Cricetulus griseus: one gene and its partner. The protein of the gene in region 2 interacts with the protein of the main gene of each other region in a biochemical or structural test. Links are inferred from orthologs where the notes say so. Each region holds a gene or a part of one and is shown on either strand. Other genes may lie near its edges.

Region 1 (9,972 bases), on a different chromosome or scaffold from region 2:
GCAGAAATGCAGCAAAGACAGAGTTCCAGCCATAGCCTGGGCTCCCAAGATCAGGTACCCTGGAAAAGGTCTTCAGAGGCACTTCCTAAGGCCACCAGGAATGCCTGGGGACTTCCCTCCCTCCAGGGCAGCAGTGGCACATAAGCCCACATCCTCCAAACCACATAAGGCTTTTATCCTGACACCAGTAACATTGGCTGCCATTAGGCTTCCCTGTATCAGAACAATCTGAGGAGAGCCGACACAGTGAACAAATAAACCAAGATGCCAAGTGCCCAATGGCTACCCAGTTCCTCGGTGCCAATTCCAAAGCTAAAGCCAGCTGGGTAGAGCCTCTGCCTGGAATTCCCCAGTTAGGGGGTAGAGGCATAGTTCCAGGGAAGAACCCCTGCCTAGAAAACCCAGAGAAGCCGGGAGGTGGGTGGGTTGGTGGTTAGTGCCAGCCCAGCAGGTGAAGCCCTGGGTTCCATGTGCAAATGTAGCCTCCCTCATTCTACCCACACTGCTCCTGAATACAGGACACTGTCACAGCAATTCTCCTCAGCACCCTTTTCCTTCTGAGGTATAACATTCCTCAGTGCTTCTGCTTCTGCTTGCTTTTATACAGTCGAATACCATTCCACGGTATGTCCAAACCAAACTTTATCTTGCCATCTCTCTGGTCCACTATCTTTGAGTGGTTTGTAAATGTTTGACCTTTAAATACAGCTGCACTGCAGATTGGGGGTAGACCTCAGTGGCAAAATGCATACCTGACCAAGTGCCAAGCCCTGATGACTCTATCCTCAACCCAAAGGGACAGAACAACCCTAGAGCCTGACCCATTCCCTGTGGGAAAGGTCCATGCATCAAGGATTTCCAAGACTGTGGAGGTCACAGGACACATATATATCGTTTGTAAAGAACTGATGTGCAGGGCAGTGGTGGCACACACCTTTCATCCCAGCACTCGGGAGGCAGACACAGCCTGGTCTACAAGAGTGAGCTTCCAAAGCCACAGAGAAACCCTGTCTCGAAAAACCAAATAAATAAATAAATAAATAAATAAATAAATAAATAAATAAAATAAAAAGAAAGAAAAATAAAAAAGAACTGATGTTCAACCCAGGCTTGGAAGCACACACCTATGGTCTTGGTGCTTGGAAGGCAGATACATGAAGAGCAAGATGCTGGATGCTTGCAGAAATGGGCTTAGTGGTTAAGAGCACTGACTGCTCTTCCAGAGGATCCAGGTTCAATTCCCAGCACCCACATAGCAGCTCACAACTGTCTGTAACCCCAGTTCTAGCCGAGCGGTGGTGGTGCATGCCTTTCTTCCCAGCACTCGGGAGGCAGTGGCAGATGGATCTCTGTGAGTTTGAGACCAGCCTGGTCTACAAGAGCAAGTTCCAGGAAAGACTCCATCCAAAGCTACACAGAGAAACCCTGTCTCAACAAAACAAACAAACAAACAAAAAAACAGTTCTAGGAGATCCAATATCCTCACACACACATGCAGATAAAACACCAATGCACATAAGATAAAAATAAATAAATAAATTTTAAAAAGACTAAAAAAATAAGTACAAGATGTCAAAGCCAGTTTTTTGTTTTGTTTTGTTTTACGAGACAGGGTTTCCCTGTGTAGCTTTGGAGCCTGTCCTGGAACTATCTCTTGTAGACCAGGTTGGCCTTGAACTCAGAAAGATCCACCTGCCTCTACCGCCCAAGTGCTGGGATTAAAGATGTGTGCCACCACTGCTCGGTGTCAAAGCCAGTTAACCTTAAAAAAAATAAAATAAACATAAAGAAACTGTCTCAAAAAGCAAAATAAATAAATAAATATGGGGGTTGAAGAGACAGCTGCTTACTGTAGAGGACTGCGGTTTGGTTCCCAGCACCTGCGAGATGTCTCACAACCACCTGTAACTCCAGTTCCTGAGGTTTTAATTCATTTTTCTGTCCTCCACATGTCGGTACATTCATACATGCAGCCCTAAATGTTCATACACACAAATTAAAAAAAAATCTAAAAATAAATTAACAGCAGGGCAGGCAAGAGGGTTCAGAGAATGAAGGCACTGCCACCAACTGTGATAACCTGAGTTCCAGTTCTCTGGGAGCTACCTGGTGTAAGGAGAGAAACGATCCCTGCAAGTTGTCCTCTGACCTTGGCACCTGTGCATACACACACAGTCTCACTGTGTAGCCTGGATGGTCTGGAACTCACTATGTAGACTAGGCTGGACTTCAACTCACAAAGATCCTCCTGCCTCTGCCTTTCAGGAGCTAGGATTACAGGCATGTGCCACCTTGCCCAGCAGAATTTTAAAAAATAAACTAAAACTTACAAAGTGCACTGGACAGTGGTGGCACAGGCCTTTAATCCCAGCATTCAGGAGGCAGAGGCAGGCTGATCTCTGTGAGTTCAAGGCCAGCCTGGTCTACAGAGTGAGTTCCAGGACAGGCTCCAGAGCTACACAGAGAAACCCTGTCTTAGGAAATAAATAAATGAATAAATAAAAGGATCAGATCTAGGGCCTCTTGTTTAAAAATGTGGCAAAGGGTGGGCTACAATTCAGGGGCAGAGTCCTTGCCTTGAATCTACTAAGTCCTGTGTTCAATCCCCAACACTGTGCAAAATAGCTAGGGGTATAAACCTATAATCCCAGCCCCCAGCAAGTGGATCAGTTCAAAGCCATTCTCAGTTATGTGTGACCCTGTCTTAAAACAAATAAGCAAACAAACAACAACAAAAACAAAAGACTGTGGCTGGAGAGAAGGCTCAGCAGTTAAGAACACTGACTGCTCTTCCAGAGGACCTGTCCTATTCCCAGCACCACATGGTAGCTCACAACTGTCTGTAACTCAAGTTCCTGGGCACTGACACCCTAACACAGACATACATAAAGGCAAAACACCAATTTGTATAAAATAACAAATACATTTCTTTTGTTTTTTGAGACAGGGTTTCTCTGTGTAGCCCTGGCTATTCTGGAACTTACGTTGTAGACCGGGCTGGCCTTGATTTCACAGAGATCTGCCTGCATCTGCCTCCTGGGTGCTGGAATTAAAAGCCTTTATACCAACCACCACTGCCTGGCTTAAATACATTATTTTTAAACCCAAAACATTAGAAATAAGCAATAATAAATAGAGTACAGTTAAAAGGGTAAACAAAACAGAACAATCCAGGCATCAGATGGTGGCATTCTGGAATGTTCTAAATTCCTGTGGTACATCCTCCTGACAAAAGTTTAAAGAGATCTCTAAGTGACAGTGGGACTTTCCAAGGCTGGCTCCTGGTCCCAGCTGCCATATCCCCTTGGGTCTCCCTATACCCCACCCTTGGCCCTGTCACTTACAGTACAAGACAATGGTGGCAGAGGCTGAGGACTGGATAGGGCCACAGTTCTCAAAGCACAGTGGCTTGCTGTCGTCTCCAATGTCACTCAGTTCAAACAGCTTCCAATTGTGTCCATGATCCAGCTCTACTTTGGGCCACTGAGTCTCCAAGCCCAGGCTGAGGTTCTCGCTGCAGGAGGAAGAGCAGTTCACCTGCATGGATGCACCCCGAGGCAGGAAGGCTTCTTTGGGGTGGATGGATACTTGAGCACTACCAGGCCCTGGAACAGAAAGGAGAGATAAGAGGCCGGTTCAGCCATGTGACTTCAGAGCTAGGTGCTGGGCACGCAGCCTTGAGCTAGGCAGGATGTTGCTCTCGATGCAGGAGGCAGCCATGCTTGAGTACACAAGAGGGGTTGAGGGGGTGCTGGGCATAGTGGACAGAGCACCTGCCTAGCATGCCTGAAGCCCAAGTTTCATCCTCAGCACCCCATAAAATGAGTATAGCGGCATACATCTATCATTCCAACACTCAGGAGGTAGAGGCAGGAGGATCAGGAGTTGAACATTATCCTGGACTAGATATAGAGTTTGAGAGTATTGCCCTCCCCAAACACCAAGTACTGTGTTTTTCTTTCTTTTAAAAAAATATGTATTGCCCAGTGTTGGTGGTGCACGCCTTTAATCCCAGCACTCGGGAGGCAGAGGCAGGTGGATCTCTTTGAGTTCGAGGCCAGCCTGGTCTACACAGCAAGTTCCAGGACAGCCTCTAAAGCCACAGAGAAACCCTGTCTGGAAAAACAAAACAAGACAAAAATATTATTGCTGGAAGGTGGTGGTGTATGCCTTTAATCCCAGGACTTGAAAGGCAGAGGCAGGCAGATCTCTGTGAGTTCAAGGCCATCCTGGTCTACAAATGGAGTTCCAGGACAGCCAGAACTGTTACACTGAGAAACCCTGTCTTGAAAAACCAATAAATAAACACATATTTTAGTGTGTGTGTGAGTGTGTGGGGTGTGTGTGTATGTGTGTGTGAGAGAGAGACATGCATGCAGGTGCCAGAGAGAATTGCATGATGCATGCAGAGAGAGAGAGAGAGAGAGAGAGAGAGAGAGAGAGAGAGAGAGAGAGAGAGAGAGAGAGAGGCAGGCATGCAGGTGCCAGAAGAGATCAGAAGGCTATCTTAACCTCGGGAACTGGAGTTATAGGCGTTGTGAGCTACCATGTGGTCCTGGGATCAGAACCCTGGTACTGCTTAACTGTTGAGCCACTCTCCAGCCAGACACACTACCACACTCAGTTTTAGTTTTAACACAGTGCTAGGGATGGGACCCAGGGTTCCACACCTGCTAAGCAAAGGCTCTGCCCACTAAGGCCAGCCCCAGATACTAGCTGTTGGGTTTTTGTCGTTACTTTGTTTTTGCTTTGGTTTTTCTTCTTTTTTGGTTTTTCCAGACAGGGTTTCTCTGTGGCTTTGGAGTCTGTCCTGGAACTTGCTCTTGTAGACCAGGCTGGTCTCAAACTCACAGAGATCCACCTGCCTCTGCCTCCCAAATGCTGGGATTTAAGGTGTGCACCATCAACGCCCAGCTGTTTGTTTTTTTTCTGACAGGGTCTCATTATGCAGCCCTGGTTGTCCTGGAACTCCCTGTGTAGACCAGGCTGACCTCACACTCACAGAGATCCTCTGCCTCTGCCTCTGGAGTGCTGGAATCAAAGGCATGTGCCACTGCCCAGCTTTAATAGTGGTTTGGTAATAAGAGTTTTGGTAAAACCAAAACAGAGTAGGGTATAGCATATAGTTTTTTGGTGACAGACAGATTTGAGCAGAGATCTGAAGGATAAGAAGACATTGCCTGAACAGGGAAAAAAGAAGCCAATGACGGACAGAAAGAACAGAGAGTGCAAAGGCCCTGAGGCAGGGTGGCAGAGTGGACGGTGGGAGAGAGGAAAGAAAGGAAATGAGAGTATCCTGTGGGTAGGGGTGGGTCACATCCCAAATGTGTCCCTAGGGCTGGAGAGATGGCTCAATGGCTAGGAGCACCTGGGTTCAATTCCCAGCACCCACATGGCAGCTAACAACTGTCTGTAACTCCAAGATCTGACACCCTCACACAGACATACATGCAGGCACAACATCAAGGCACTCAAAATAAGAATAAATTATTTTTTTAAATGTGTCCCTAATGCCAGGTGTGGTGGTGCACACTTTTAATCTCAGCACTCCTCTGCTCCTCTGGCCCATGATCTAGCTAGGAGGTCAGAAGCCTCCTATGAGCAGCTGAGCAAGTTCGGAATCTTCCTCTCATTGGAGGACAGCAGGTGCTGCCCGCAAGCAAGGGAGGGCTCCTGTGGGGAGTCCTCAGCCACCTCACTTCACTTCTCAGCCTCTGACTCCTGAGCACACCAGCCCTGGAATTCCCCAGTGCAGAGCAGCCTGGACTTCCCCCAGGGGTGAGGATGAGGAACAGGCTATCTGTGGGGAGGGAATCGGACCTCAAGACTCAGCTTGGTAGGGGCTGGTCCCCCTACTATCTGCGCCCCCCCCCCCCGCACATTCTGACTGCCCCATGACAATGGCTGTGACCACTGTTCCCATTGAACAGGCCAGGGTCCCAGGTTCTAAACGAATACGTTTATAGAGGAGTAGTGTGTCTCAAGCGGGTGATCCCAGGCTGAAGGGAGAAGGGCGGGGACCATGAGGATGAGAGTTCAAGTCCAGTCTAGGCTAAGTGCCTCAAAACAGGCAAAAAGGGAAGGGAAGAGAGGGAGAAAGGGGGAGAGAGAGAGGGAGAGAAGGAGAGGGGGGAGAGAGAGGGAGGAAGGGAGAGAGAGATGGAGAGGGAGGGAGGAAGAGAGGGGGAGAAAGGGAGAGAGGGAGAAGGGGAGAGGGAGGGAGGGAAAGGGAGGGAGAGGGAGCGGCAGGCAGGCAGACAGGCAGACAGTGTTCTGCAGCCCATCCGCGGGATTTGAACTACTCGGGGCTGATGGTTTTCAACCCTTCGTTTCCACTCCCACTTCCCGTTAACAGACCCCTAAGAACTATCCTCTGCTCCTCTGGCCCGTGCCTGGGTCCACCTGGGGTCCGGAAACTTGTCCCTAAAAGCGACCCCACCTCGGACTCACCTGGAATCACAACGGCCACCAGGGCGAGGAGCAGGGGTGGCGTGGGCCTGGCGCGGGTGGGAGCCATAGCAAGGCCAGCAGAGCGCAGGGAGCACGAGCACCCACGGGGCAAGGGGCACGGAGCACCGGGCGCGGACGGGACGGGACGCGGGCGGCGCGCAGCGCGTCTGACTTTATAGTTGCCGGCCGGCCGCGGGGGGCCGAGGGGCGGTGCTGGCGGGGCCGCTTTCCCGGAAACCTAGCGCCTTCCCCTCCGGAACGCGGACTTCGGTATTTCCGCAAGGAGATCGTGCCCTGGCCTAGAGGGGTGGCCTGCCTCGCTGGGCACCGTGGCCCAGGAATTTCCAGACTGAAGCAATGGCCAATGGGGGCGGGCTGCGTGCGGGAGAGGGTGGGTGAGTTCAGCAGAGGGCTCAGGACCTCTGGAGTCACGTCACGCCTGCAGGGTAATTGGTTAACCGGTGCCTGGTGCCCTGTGCCCTCGGGACTGCCGTCGCCTCGCGGGGTAGCCTCGAACCCCAGCTCCCACAAGCCTCTTTGCCCCCCACGACACGCCTTAGCCAAGCACAACAATTCCCTGGAATCATTCGGGGCGCCATCCGCTCAGAGGGGCCCCTCTCCCAAGGCTCGCACCCCACCCAGTTGACACCAGAGATTTTTGGAGCAGCGGTCCAAGCAGGCCCGGACAGATCCGGCGTGGGCGAGCCCTGCCAGAGAGGCGTCATGCAGTCCCTTCGTCCCTCCTCCCACCCACGAGTGCTCCCGCCCCCGCGGCCTCGCTTCCCCTTTCTACTCTGACCCCTGGGGCGTCTTGACAGCTCCCCAAGAAGGAAGGAAGAGGTCTGTCTGGCCCTGTGGAGCCCTGCGCCACCCTTTCTCAGGCTGGATAAGAAACTGAGGGCAACTCAAGAGAGGCACCTCTCAGAGAGGGGCCTAGCCCCCCACCCCCACCCCCCCCCGCCCCGCCCCTCCCCCGCCTTGAGTCCCCCTCCTTCCTCCCCCGCTCTCTCCCTCCCACCCCCATACCCCCTCCTTTCTGTCTCTCCCTCTTCCCCTCCCATCTCACCCCCACTCCTTCTCTTTTCTGGAGACTGGGTATCAAGTAGCCCAGGCTGGCCTCAAACATTGTGTAGCTAGGGATGACCTTGAACTCCAGATCCTGCCTCGTGCTTCACCAGGCTTGGTTATTTTAACCTTTGCTTTCTTCAGGGAAACTGAGGCAGACCCTGAACTCCAAGGTCGGGCGGAGAGAGATCTCGAACACCGATCTTCTGACCCAGGGGGTTTGGCACCCGAGGCTTCCTGTTGTGGGACGCCCGCACTGTTGCCGTGGAGACCGGTGCTGGGCCAGGAGGTCGTGCTGCAGATGCGGAAGGGAGAGGTTGAGAAGCCTTCTCTCTTCCTCCGGTAGCAGCAGCTCCTGGGACACTCCACAACCCACGCCCCCAGCCTGGACATTCCTAAGGAATTTCCACGGGGATCTTTTGATCTTGGGGGGTCGGGGAGGAGACAATCAGTCCCTGCCCCGGGACGACTTTGGCAGAGTTGCAGGGTGACCACAGGAGGGTCTGGGAAAACCCTCGGAGTGGATCTTTTTAGGGTGTCACTGAGTCTTTTGGTCCCTACTTCATGTGTGGGGAGCCTCCAGCGCCCTAAGTTCCCATTTGCAGCCCTAAGAGCAAAGTTGTTTAAGTGGGTGCCTACTTTGTGCAGGGCACCATCGTTCCCAGAGCTGAATATTGGAAAATCCTGCTGGGATGCTCAGCTGAGCAGTGACACGCAAAACACAACTCTACTGCCACAGAAAAGCTCGGCAGCCTGTGAGAGCGGTACTCAGGAAGTGGGGGTCAGCCTGGGCTACACAGCGAGTGCACGCCAGCCCCACACCAGATGTCTTCAAAAACCATCAAGGAGGCTGAGAGATGGTTTATCAGTTAAAAGCAAGTGCTCTGGTTCAATTCCCATCACCCATATGGCAGCTCACAGCAATCTGTAACTCAAGTACTAGGGATCCACCTGAAGTTCTTTATCTTTTGGCCTCCCTGGGCACCACAGACACACACACACACACACACACACACACACACACACACACACACACTCGAGATACCTTAGCAGTTGATGATCCAAGTTCAGTTACCAGCACCATGTCAAGCAGCAAGCATACATGTGGTACACATGCAGGCAAAGCAATCACATATAAAATAAATTTAACAAAATAATTTAAAAATAATCTTTCTGAGGCTGTAGCTAGTTAGTAGGGTACCTGGTTTTTTTTTTGGGGGGGGAGGGTTGGTTTTTTGAGACAGGGTTTCTCAACAGCATAGAGTGCCTGTTTAACAAGCACAAAGCCCTGGCCAAGTGTGGAGGCACAGACCTTTAGTCCCAGAGGCAGGGAGGCCAGTCTGGTCTATGGAGCTAGTTCCAGGACAGCCAGGGCTACACAAAGAAACCATGTTTCAAAACACACACACACACACACACACACACAAAAAAAAAAAAAAAAAAAAAAAAAAAACAGAAAGAAAGAAAAAGAAAAACAAAAATAAATAAACAAGCACAAAGCCCACATGGAGGACGGAGGATCAGGAATTCAGGGTTATCCTCTGCTACATGTTGAAGGCCAGCCTGGGCTACACGTAGGAGCCGCCCAGATTTAAAAAAGAAAAAGAAAAGTGGAGTATTATTTTGTGACGAGTGGTAAAGTGGAAAGCTAAAGCCAGGGATAGTTTTTGATGGTTAAAAAGAATTGGTGTGGTGACCAAACATTAGCAGGGTGGAGAGACCACCCAGTGGTCAGGAGCACTTGCTTCTCTTCCAGAGGAACTAGGTTTGGCTCCCAGTACTTTTGGAGGCTCACAATTGCTTGTAATCCAAGCTCCAGCAGATCCCATGCTGTCTTCTGGCTTCCACAGACACCTACATGCATGTGGCACACACACAAAGTTTTTTTATTTTATTTTTTTAAAAATTTATTTATCATGTATACAGTGCATGCCAGAAGAGGGCACCAGATCACATTACATACAGATGGTTGTGAGCCACCATGTGGGTGCTGGGAATTGAACTCAGAATCTCTGGAAGAACAGTCAGTGCTCTTAACTCCTGAGCCATCTCTCCAGTCCCACACAAAGTTGTTTTGTTTTTGTTTTTGTTTTTTAATTAAAAGAGGGCCTGGAAAGATGGAGAGAGAAGACTCGGTGGTTAAGAGCACTGACTGCTCTTCCAGAGTTCTTGAGTTCAATTCCCTGCATGGTGAACATGGTGGTTCACAACTATTTACAGTGTGGTCTGATGCCCTCTTCTGGCAAGCAGATGCAATGCATACAGAGCACTCATTTTGAAAAAAAAAACAAAGAAAAAGAAAGCTGGGGGTTGGTGGTGCATGCTTTTACTCCCAGCACTCAGGAGGCAGAGGCAGGCAGATTTCTATGACTTCAAGGCCAGCCTGATCTACCAAGTGAGTTCCAGGACAGCCAAGGCTACACAGAGAAAACCTGTCTCAAAAAAGAAAAAAAAAAA
Region 2 (10,206 bases):
GTAAAATCACATGGGAAGAGTTTAGGACTGTCTTGATCAGGTTGGCCCATGGGCATATCTGTGAGGAACTATGTCAGACTACCTTCATTGGTGTAAGAAGACCCAGTATGAGAGTGGGTGCAAAATTCCCCGATTTGGGGCCCTGGTCTGGTTAAAAGTAGAGGAAGTAAGTCAAACACTAAGCATGCAGTCATTTCTCTTTGCTTTTGACTGGGGATGGGATGTGAGCGGTTGCTTCAAGTTCCTGCTGCCTGGACTTCCCTGAAATAATAAACTGTAACCTGAAATTGTGAGCTAAAAACAACCCTTTTTCCCACTAAGCTGCTTTTAATCAGGGTATTTCACCACAGCAACAGAAATGAAACCAGGATGATCGTCCTGAGTCTCCTCTCCCCACTCAGGGGCTTTGTAGGGTTATCTGCTGGTCCCCCTTGGAACTGTGGCTACAGCTACATCGAGTCTGCCCACAGCACGTCTGCTGTCCCAGCTATGCTCACTTCACTGTGTCCGACCCAATCGAGCACGCCTGTGGCAAGCCTGGTTTGAAAAGTTATGCATCCCTGGCTACAGGACTTGTCAGGGCTCTCACTCTGCCAAGGGTAGCTAAGCCTTCTGAGAGTGGAAATGAATGGTGATTTCTAAATGGTTTGCTTCCCCATTTCAACAAGGCACAGACCAACTGCTAAGAGAGGATCCATCCAGGCGTTGGTGGCACATGCCTTTAATCCCAGCACTCCGGAGGCAGAGGCAGGCGGATCTCTGTGAGTTCAAGGCTAGCCTGGTCTACAGAGCGAGTGCCAGGATAGGCTCCAAAAGCTACACAGAGAAACCCTGTCTTGAAAAACAAAAGAGAGAGAGAGAGAGAGAGAGAGAGAGAGAGAGAGAGAGAGAGAGAGAGTCCAGACACCTAGTGCAGACAGTGGGGTTGAGGGAATCCACCCAGGGCGGAGTTCAGACTTTGAAGTAACTGTTTTAAAAATTACAGTTATTTGTAACTGTAGGATTGGCTTGCACACACCATGTGCATAAGGAGATCAGATAACTGCTTGGAGCTTTTGGTTTTCTCTTTTCACCCTTTGGGCCCTAGGGTATTGAACTCAGGTAACCAGGTTTGGTGGCAAAGCACTTTCACCCATGGAACACTTTCACTGGTCCTGGAGCTCAGACTTCTGTGAGTCAAGTTCACTGTCCAACCCAGAGACTGCCCCATCTGTCTGCCCTGACAGGACACACAGGCTGAGCTCCTAGATGCCCTGGACAGCCAACTCTAAGCCTACCTGGTCGCAAGTAAAGAGTCACTTTTTGTGGAGATAACTGCTTCCGTTCCCCCGGTTGGTCAAACTGAGGTTCAGCAAGGCTCCTGGGTTCCATTATGTCATCGGCTGGACAACCCTTCTGCAGCAGCTGAGCCCGTGTGTCACAGCGGAGGGAGTCAGGCTCTCCTGGTCCAGTGAAGTTCTAGGAGGAGGGGTCGGGCAGAAGGCACAGTGCTGAGACAGTGGGGTCCAGCCCCATTTCCTTCTTACCTGCCCTTGAAACTTCAGTTAGCTGTCCCAGTGGGATGGGGTCATCCTCTAGGGAAAACCAGACTCCTAGACAGCCTAGGTCACCCAGACAGCTCCAAGTTTCCCTGAGAGCTCCAGGTCACCAGAAGCATAGACTATAGACTTTTCTCTATCTTTCGGGCACTGACTCCATCAGCAAAGACTTGAGGTTCTCTATCTCTAGCTTGATCAGCAGCCTCAAGCTCAAGTGCTGGCCAGAACCCTCTGGTCCTTCCTCAGCAGGACCTTTGCTGGGAGCTTCTGTCTCCCAAGGGAATGCAGGTGCTCTCTTTGAACCAATGTGACAACCCTTGCTGAGACTCATGGCAGAGCTTGGGGTCAAGTTTGATGGGGGATGTTCTTTTGTATATATGTTTCTCTTATTGGTTGATGAATAAAACACTGGTTGGCCAGTAAAGGCAAGAAGATAAGAGGGCTAGGAGACAAGGAGATTGCTGGAGAGAGAGGCGCCACAAAGGGATGCCATGTAGAGATCAGAAAGATAGGATGTTCCAGGTGTTCTCTGGTAAGATAAAGCCATGTAGAAATATATAGATTAGTAGTTATGGGTTAATAATTAAGAGAGAGCTAGCCAGTAAGAAGCCCTAGCCATCAGCTTACAGTTTTATAATTAATATTGCGTCCATGTGCTTATTTGGGGCAAAGCAGCTGTGGGCCAGGTTAGAAAGAAACTCCATCTTCACAAGTTTCTCCCAGTTCATAGGGAAACCAGTTGGTGAGGGGAGTGGAGAGCCTGGGGGACCTTCATCTTGACTACCACGTCTCTTCAAAAAACCCCTGGATTTGACATGGAAGTCATTCTTGGTCCTGAACTGGAACCTGTTGCATCCAAAGGAGGACTGGTTCACCTGCAAAGTACCAAAAAGCACCGGGCTGCCTGTTTTCCCACAGACAGTAAAGCCAGACGAACAACTCAGAAGTGCAGTAGACACCGCCTGCCGAGTGTCTCTGCTCTGTGTTTGCTTTCAGAGCCACATCTTAAGTCCTCAAGAAACAGACGATCAGCCGGAATAGAGATAAGAGAAGCAAGCGTGTAATCCATGTAGAACAAGCGGCCTGACTGTTCATTTCAGGTGAGTAAAATGGCTCAAGAGGAAGAGAGAAAAGCTAGTCCATCTAAGAATGGCTTGTCCATGCTTGCACCACAGCTCTCAGTCACAGGATAGAAGTTACAACACCAGGCCTCTGCTCTGGAGCTTTGCCTGTAGCGGACATGATCGATGGCAATAGAAGTCAAAAACCTTGTGGGATGGAGAAGATGGGGAAAGTCGCAGAGAATGCTGGGAGCCCACTTGTCATGAAAGCATAGGAGCCTTCTCTAACTCTAACTCTTGGCCAGGGGAAGGCCAGAGCACAGTTAGCACAGCTGGTCATCCCAGAGTATGAAAGTTCTCAGAACAAGACAAAATGACAACAAAAAATGTCATATGAATGATACCCAGAGCATCTTAGAGGGGCCCAATGGCCTGACATGGACCAGTTGAACATCAAATTGGAAAAATAATAGTCATAAACTATGAAGAGAATAAAGATCTGCAGATCCATCAATGGGGTGGGGGCTGAGAGAGAGAGAGAGAGAGAGAGAGAGAGAGAGAGAGAGAGAGAACCATTTTACAGTCACTACAGTGGTAATGGAAATTTGCCTGAGTTGCCAGTAGTCAAATTGCAAGGTCACAGACTTAGTTTAGTGGGGACAGAATGCTAGCAACCTGACAGCACCTCACAGACGAGCCTGTCACTCACTGTGGGGGACACAGGATGTGAGGAGAAACCTGGCAGGTGTCACCTTAGCAAACATCATTAGTGCAGGGACATAGGGCACACCAGTGAGGGCACCATGTGTGCCTCATGTAGGGCACCAAGAATAACTCACTGTCTGGTGACCCTAGTGTACATCAGAGGACATGCTGGGTTGGAGGCGCCAAGGGACATTCTACACTGATGGCTCTACTCATCCTAAAACGACAAAGCTGGGAATGTTCTGGATATAAGGGTAGTAAAATGGCACACCGTGTGTCCTCAGATTATGACAGTATGGAAAAATGTGAAAATTTGGCAAGATGCAAATACGGTCTGCCCATTGGGCCAATATTACATTTGCTGAGTTTGATAACAGGATCAAATATGAACATACACATATGGCATGGTTCGTGTTGACTATCAGCTTGACAGGCTCTGGACTCTCCCAACAGGCAAGGCTCCAGGCACACTGGGAGGGACTGTGTTGACTAGGTTCTTTGACATGGGAAGACCTGCCCAGTGCAGGTGGCACGGTCCCATGGGTTTGGGTCCCGGACTGAAGAGAAATGAGGAAGGGAGTCGAACATGGACATTCATCACCCTGCATCCTGTCTGTGGATGTGATGTGACTAGCTGCCCCACACCCACACCCCCGCTGCTGTGACTTCCCCACCATGACAGACTGTCATCTCTAACCGTGAGCCAAAATAACCCTTCCTTCCTTAAGTTGCTCTTATCAGGGTGTTTTTATGACAGTAACAGAAAAGTAACTACGACAGTACATTTTATAAAAAACACACTCAGTGTGTTTTTGTTTTGTTTTGTTTTTTATAAGCGAATACCTTATTCTCAAAGACCTATGAAGATAGAAGGGACAGAGGCTGTTGGTGTAGTTTCCACCAGAAAGGATCAGGCGACTGAGAAGAAAGAGTAATGTGGGTGTTTCCCTGTGGGGTCAGCAGCTTGGGGACCCCAGGAGGAGCATACGATAAAGGCTTAGACCCACAGGAGGAGCCCTCTATAAGAGGTGGCCAGCTGTACTGAGGGACTGGGGTACAGGATGAGAAGTCCCCTCCATGCCTGCCTGTGGGCCTTTACCTCCTCCTGTTCTTGATTCACACTGCAAAGCTGGACTGTCCCTCCCTACATACCTGGAGTCAGCCTGGGTTACCATGGTACATCCATCTCCCTCCTCGAAACTTCTCTACTGAGTCATTCCTGCTATGTCCTAAGGAGATTGTCCTGGTGTCCCTGGCTTCAGAGAAGTAGAGGTCCCTACCCAGGAAGAGGGGAAGGGGGCTTAAAAACTGTCAGGCGACCCACGCAGCTCTTACCAGCTTCTGGCACCATGCGCATCCAGGCCCCGACTGGACACAGTCCTGACAGTTGCTGACTTTGTACTTGGTGCACTCCTGGGACATGACTGAGGAGACAGACAGGCTGGATGAGGACCCTGCACCCACTCTGGCTGCTCTCAAGAGTGAGTGGGGAGGGGGGGTAGACGAGGCTCTGGGGAGGGTGTAGGCTAGTGTCTACAGCCTTATGTGATCTGGGAAGGGCTCTGAGTCGTCCCAGTGGGATTCAGAGCAGCACCCCTGAGGAAGTCAGACTCCGCCTCCTGTTATATGGGGATCAAAGACATCCATGCCTGAGACTGACTCCCAGAGGATGGTCCTTCCTCAGCCATCTGGGAACTTATGCCCAAGAGGACATGAGGTGGGCCTGCTGGGTGGGAATGTCATGTGTAGGGACAACATCATAGAACTCACCTGATCCCAGGTAGAGCAGTCCAGCTAGAGCGAGCAGCAGTGAGTGCCAGCCCAGCATGTCCTGTGGAGAGAAGGGCTGGGTGACTTCTGGCTGATCACCTGAAGACTTCCTTCTTGCTGGCCTCCTGTCCTGCTGCCACAGGGCATGAAAACCAGGCAGGGCCAGCACAGGTATCACTCAAAGTCCACAGGGTAACTGGCTCAGGTGGCCAGGTCCCTAGAAGAGCAGGCAGCCAGCCTCTGTGGGACTACCATAGGCATGCATGCATTCATGCATGCATGTGCACGCGCACACACACACACACACACACACACACACACGGGTGGGGGGAGGGAGGGAGGAGATGAAAAGAGAGCGAGACAGAGATAGAGACAGAGAGACGGAGAGAGATGCATGCCATACAGGCAGCCCCACTCCCCACCCCACAAGTGCAGTGGCTCACACTGTCGGGGCACAGCTGTAACACCTGTGTACTCCAAGTCCTTAACGAGCTTGGACCCCAGATCTGGTTGACCCAGATAGCAGAATTGGGCCCAGGTAGAGCCATGAACTTGGAGCACTTGTGGAACAGGGCTGAGCTGGCTCACAGAGACTCTCTCTGTCTCAAATACTCCTTGGAGCCTTGATTCTATTCTTGCCCAGGAGGAGATAGAGCTGGGGACCTTGTTGGAATCCCTGTCCCGGGCAGGGGAGAATCGGCTTCACAGAGCTCATCCATGGCTTTGACTACCCTACTGCTGGCTGCCTGTTGCCATGTTTCCAGAACCACAGCATCCTGTCCTGCTTATAATCCATGGCACTGAGGGCCTTGAACTAATAAGGGGCCCAGCTGGGGACTAGGCATGCTGAGAGGCCTGGGGTGTGACTTCCTTCCTCATGGCTGGGCACCGGCAGGACTGCCATTCTCCTAGATCTTTACTGGTATCCTCCTTCCCCTGCAAGGACCCAGAGAGGTCAGGACTCAGCCCCTGGGACCTATGATGTTCTGAGTGGTGTGGCCCCTGGGTCTGAGTTCCTAAGACATGAGGATCTGTGGCAGGCAGGCAGGAAGAGATACATGACCAGGGCCTGGGTTGTCAGAAACAAAAATCAGCATGCCTCCCCAAGCCATGACCAGCTCCTCTACAGGGCAAGGCTGAAGCCACTGAGGAAACCGAGTGAGGGTGGGGACAGGGTTGCCAGATCAGTGCTCTGAAGGTGGCTCTTAGTGCCTTGTATGGCCTCAGAGTACTGGGTATACCAACCAGCCTGTGGTCCTTGACATCACCATTGCTCCCTGAAGCCCAGAATCCAGGCTGAGGTCTATGATAGTCATGACACCCTGTAGAGTCACCCAGTTGGGGACCCTGTGGATACAGCCCTCATGTAGCCCCATTTCTGACCCTTTTAAAAGTGGCCTATGACCTCAGAAAGACTATCCTCAGGGCCCAGAATTGTTAAATGAAGCCCCACTTAAGGAAAAGCAAGACTTCCTCCCTCGCTTTCTGAGTTTAGCACACTGTAGCAAGGCAGAGAGGGGACTTGAAGCTACATGGGAGCCATCCCAGCTCTGAATATCTCTGTCTCCCGGTCCCAGGGCACCTAGCCCAAGCTGAGGCAGCTGCATTTGGTCCTGCTTCTGCATCTCATCCTAGAGTTCCTTGAACACTGCTAGGGGTGGCACACGTGTGTCCACCAACTCCCTTAACTAACCTGGGGCCTGGCACGTGTGACTGAGATCTGCATGCTGACACTGCAATCCAGTCAGCCTCAGGAAAGCCCCCTTTCTGAGGCCATGGCTGTTGTGGGTAGAGAGTGGGGAGAGTCCTTCCAGGGCACAGGTATGGTACTTCAGAGAGAGGCCATCACAGATGTCGCCCCCAAACAGCCACTATAGTCAGTATTCAAACTTGCTGGGGAAACTGGAGCTCCAAGCAGGAGCAGGATACAGGGTTGTGTCTCATACCTATGAGTGTGTTGACGGGCATGCACACAGAGATAGAGAGAGATAGAGATAGAGAGATAGAGAGAGAGAGAGAGAGAGAGAGAGAGAGAGAGAGTGTGTGTTCAACTTGGTTATAAGACCAACCCACAGACCACACTGCCCTGCCCTGACCTTGACCACAGGAAGTGGGTGGTGGCCAGTGTAGCCACCGCCTGTTCTTTGTTCCAGGTGCAAAGCTCTCAGGACAGAGAGCACTTGAGAGGAGCCATCTCCACCTGGGCCCCCTATGCCCCACAGAAGACACCAAACAATGACAATGGTGTGAGCCTAAGTCATCAGCTTGTGCAAGACCTCCTGACCCTGTCTTTATCTTCTCATCTCCTAGCCCTCCTTCTGAGGACCTTGCCACTGAAGAGCCATCAGTTGGCCCAGGTCAGGTGGCGCTTGCCCTTGGAAAGACAGGTTTGAGCGTTTGCATCTCAGTATGATCTCTTAGTGCCTAGCACAGCTGGTCCCTCTTCTCAGTCTGTGGGGAGGCCCCTAGTCACTGCAGCTGCCAGCCAGAACAAGAGTGAATAAGAGGGCCTGAGGTAGAAGCCCCACACTCCCACCCCATGGTTACTGAACAGCCCTGAGAAGGTCTCCTCTAGCTCCTGGCTTCACTGGAGCTCCTTAGGTCTTCCAGGTACCTTCACCAAGTCATGAGGTGAGACCTTACGCAGAGGCCTCCTGAGAAAGCCCTGCCCCAGTAGCTATTAGAACTCTTCATCACAGCCACCCTCTATCTCCACCCTCTGCTCAGCAAGTGCTAGCCCAACCCAGGAAGTGGTGGCTATCCGCAGGCCTTCACATTGTGAGGCCTGAGTTGTTGGCCTTCCCTGAAGATTCCCTTGGGGACTATGGCTTCACACGAAGGGGTAGATGAGGCCATGGTGTTTGCACCTGGGTTCTGTGACAGGAAAGTATCTACCTCATACATGTCCCCATGAGAAATGAAATGCCCATGGCAAAGGAGGAAACAAGAAACAAAAGGCAATTTGGGCAGGGTGTGGTGACCTATAACTGTAATCCCAGCGCTTGAGAGGTGAAGGGGAGACGACCAGGAGTTCAAAGTCATCCTCAGCTACATAGTGAGTTCAAGGACAACTGGAGGTGAATGAAACCCTGACCGCCTCCCGCCCCCCCCCCCAAAGAGTGGGTGGTGATGTAAAAAAAAAGCCAGCTGAGGGGGCAAGTCTTATAAGAGGCTGGTGGTGGGTGGCTTCCTGTCCCTAGTCAGAGCACATGAGGTACCTGACTGACTGAGAGCAACACTGGGAATCAAGCAGTTGAACACTGACAGAGCCCCAGGGTAGTTTGCAGGGAGAATAGATGGAGTCCTAGGACTGCCCTTTTCTGAGGAAAACAAAAATAAAGGCACGTGACCATCAGAGATGATCATAGCCCAGCCTTGAACTTTTTCACTGAAGTCCAGTGTCAAGATGGAGTCACTTCTGCCCTTACACACTCACAAAAGAACTGGGGGCAGATGGGCTCAGGGTGCGGGAACAGGGTTCTGGGATCCAGGAGCTCCGGGCAGAGGACAAGGGGCTTGTAGAAACAGAGGGAACAGCTGATTTGAGGACACAGAGCTCCGGGCAAACACAGGGAACAAGGGATGTTCTAGTTCCCTTTTTGTTGCTGTGATAAAACACTGACCACAGGCAAGTTAGGGGAGGAAAGAGTTTCTTTCAGCTTATAGGTTACAGTCATCACTGAGGGAAGTTAGGGCAGGAACTCAAGCAGAAACTTGAAGTAGAAACGATGGAGGAACCCTGGTTAGAGGCTCCCACTCCTACAGGCTTATGCTTAGCTGGCTTTCTCTGTAGCCCAGGACCACGTGCACTGAGAATGGTGCTGTCCCACGGTGGTGTGGGCTCTCCTACATAGATTAATCATCCAGACATCTCCCCGCAAACATACCCACAGGAGAATCTGATCCAGGAAGTTCCTCAATCGACTTAATGCTTTGTAAAAGTGACAAAGCTAATTAGGACAAGGGGCACACAGGAACAGATGGAGTAGCTGGGTTCTGGAATACTGCATCTGGAGTCCTAGAGCTCCAGGCAGACTTGGAACAAGAGGCCAGAAGGTCGGAGGGAGGGGTGAGTATGGAGGATACTGGTCCTATAGACTCTCAGAAACCCTCCTAGAACCTGCAAAGGAAATTTCATAAGTGACTGAGAAACATGGTTGCATGGTGCTTATTAATGATGGAGTCCACAGATACCAAAAGCTGCAGCGACTGACCAACTAGGATTAAGTGGGACTCACTTCTAAAGCTGTTTAAGAACACAACAATAGCTGGGCATTGGTGGCACATGCCTTAAATCCCAGCACCTGGGAGGCAGAGGCAGGCGGATCTCTGTGAGTTCGAGACCAGCCTGGTCTACAAGAGCTAGTTCCAGGATAGGCTCCAAAGCCACAGAGAAACCCTGTCTCAAAAAACAAAAACAAAACAAAACAAAGAACACAACAATAAGCTAGGCATAGTGGAACAAACATTTAATTCCAGCATTGAGGAGGCAGAATAGGTGGATCTCTGCAAGTTTGAGACCACCCTGATCTACACAGTGAATTCCAGGACAGCCAGAGCTACATAGTGAGACCCTATCTCAAAAGATAGATAGATAGATAGATAGATAGATAGATAGATAGATAGATAGATTGATAGAGCAATAAAAAGTCCCAAGTCAGAGGGAGACTACAAACATCCTTGCAGGCATGTTAGAACAGGAGAGGCCTCCTGCTGTGAGGTTTCCCCTCTAACAGAACCTGAGAAATTAAGGGTAGGTGAGCATCTCCGAGGAGCATGGACCACAAATAGGCCATTCAACAGGCAGAACACAGATGCAGAGGGGCATGGGATACCCATCAAAACACGGGCATTTCTGGAGTAGATTTCCAACAGAAGATGGCTTTACCATTTTAATACACACAGCTCCCGCCCTGTGGAATCTGCCTGCAGCAGCATTGTAGTATGGATAGCAGCTGGGGTAACTCATTCTCATGGTGAAAGTGAACGGACGGGAAAAAGGAAAAGCCGTGGACCAAAATGTCCCGTGGGTAGCATCACAGAGGTGCCCTCAGTTTCCTCCATATTCTGTCTATATTTTCCAACTTTATGTAGTAATTGTGCACGGTGACACCCTAAAAGCTCTGGTGGAC

What was found. The genes of interacting proteins can lie anywhere in the genome.
Region 1: the proteins of Itgb2 (region 2) and Icam1 form a complex in vitro, tested with the Homo sapiens proteins (4 studies listed by BioGRID). The link is inferred for Cricetulus griseus from reciprocal best matches to the Homo sapiens genes ITGB2 and ICAM1.

What each region holds. Positions count from the first base shown.
Region 1 is NC_048597.1:133,881,660-133,891,631, reverse strand, and holds the start of Icam1 (intercellular adhesion molecule 1 precursor), read right to left. Parts: upstream 6,677-9,972; 5' UTR 6,518-6,676; coding exon 6,451-6,517; intron 3,606-6,450; coding exon 3,345-3,605; intron 1-3,344. UniProt on the Homo sapiens protein: ICAM proteins are ligands for the leukocyte adhesion protein LFA-1 (integrin alpha-L/beta-2).
Region 2 is NW_023276806.1:261,264,783-261,274,988, forward strand, and holds the start of Itgb2 (integrin beta-2), read right to left. Parts: upstream 5,133-10,206; coding exon 5,075-5,132; intron 4,729-5,074; coding exon 4,640-4,728; intron 1,459-4,639; coding exon 1,278-1,458; intron 1-1,277.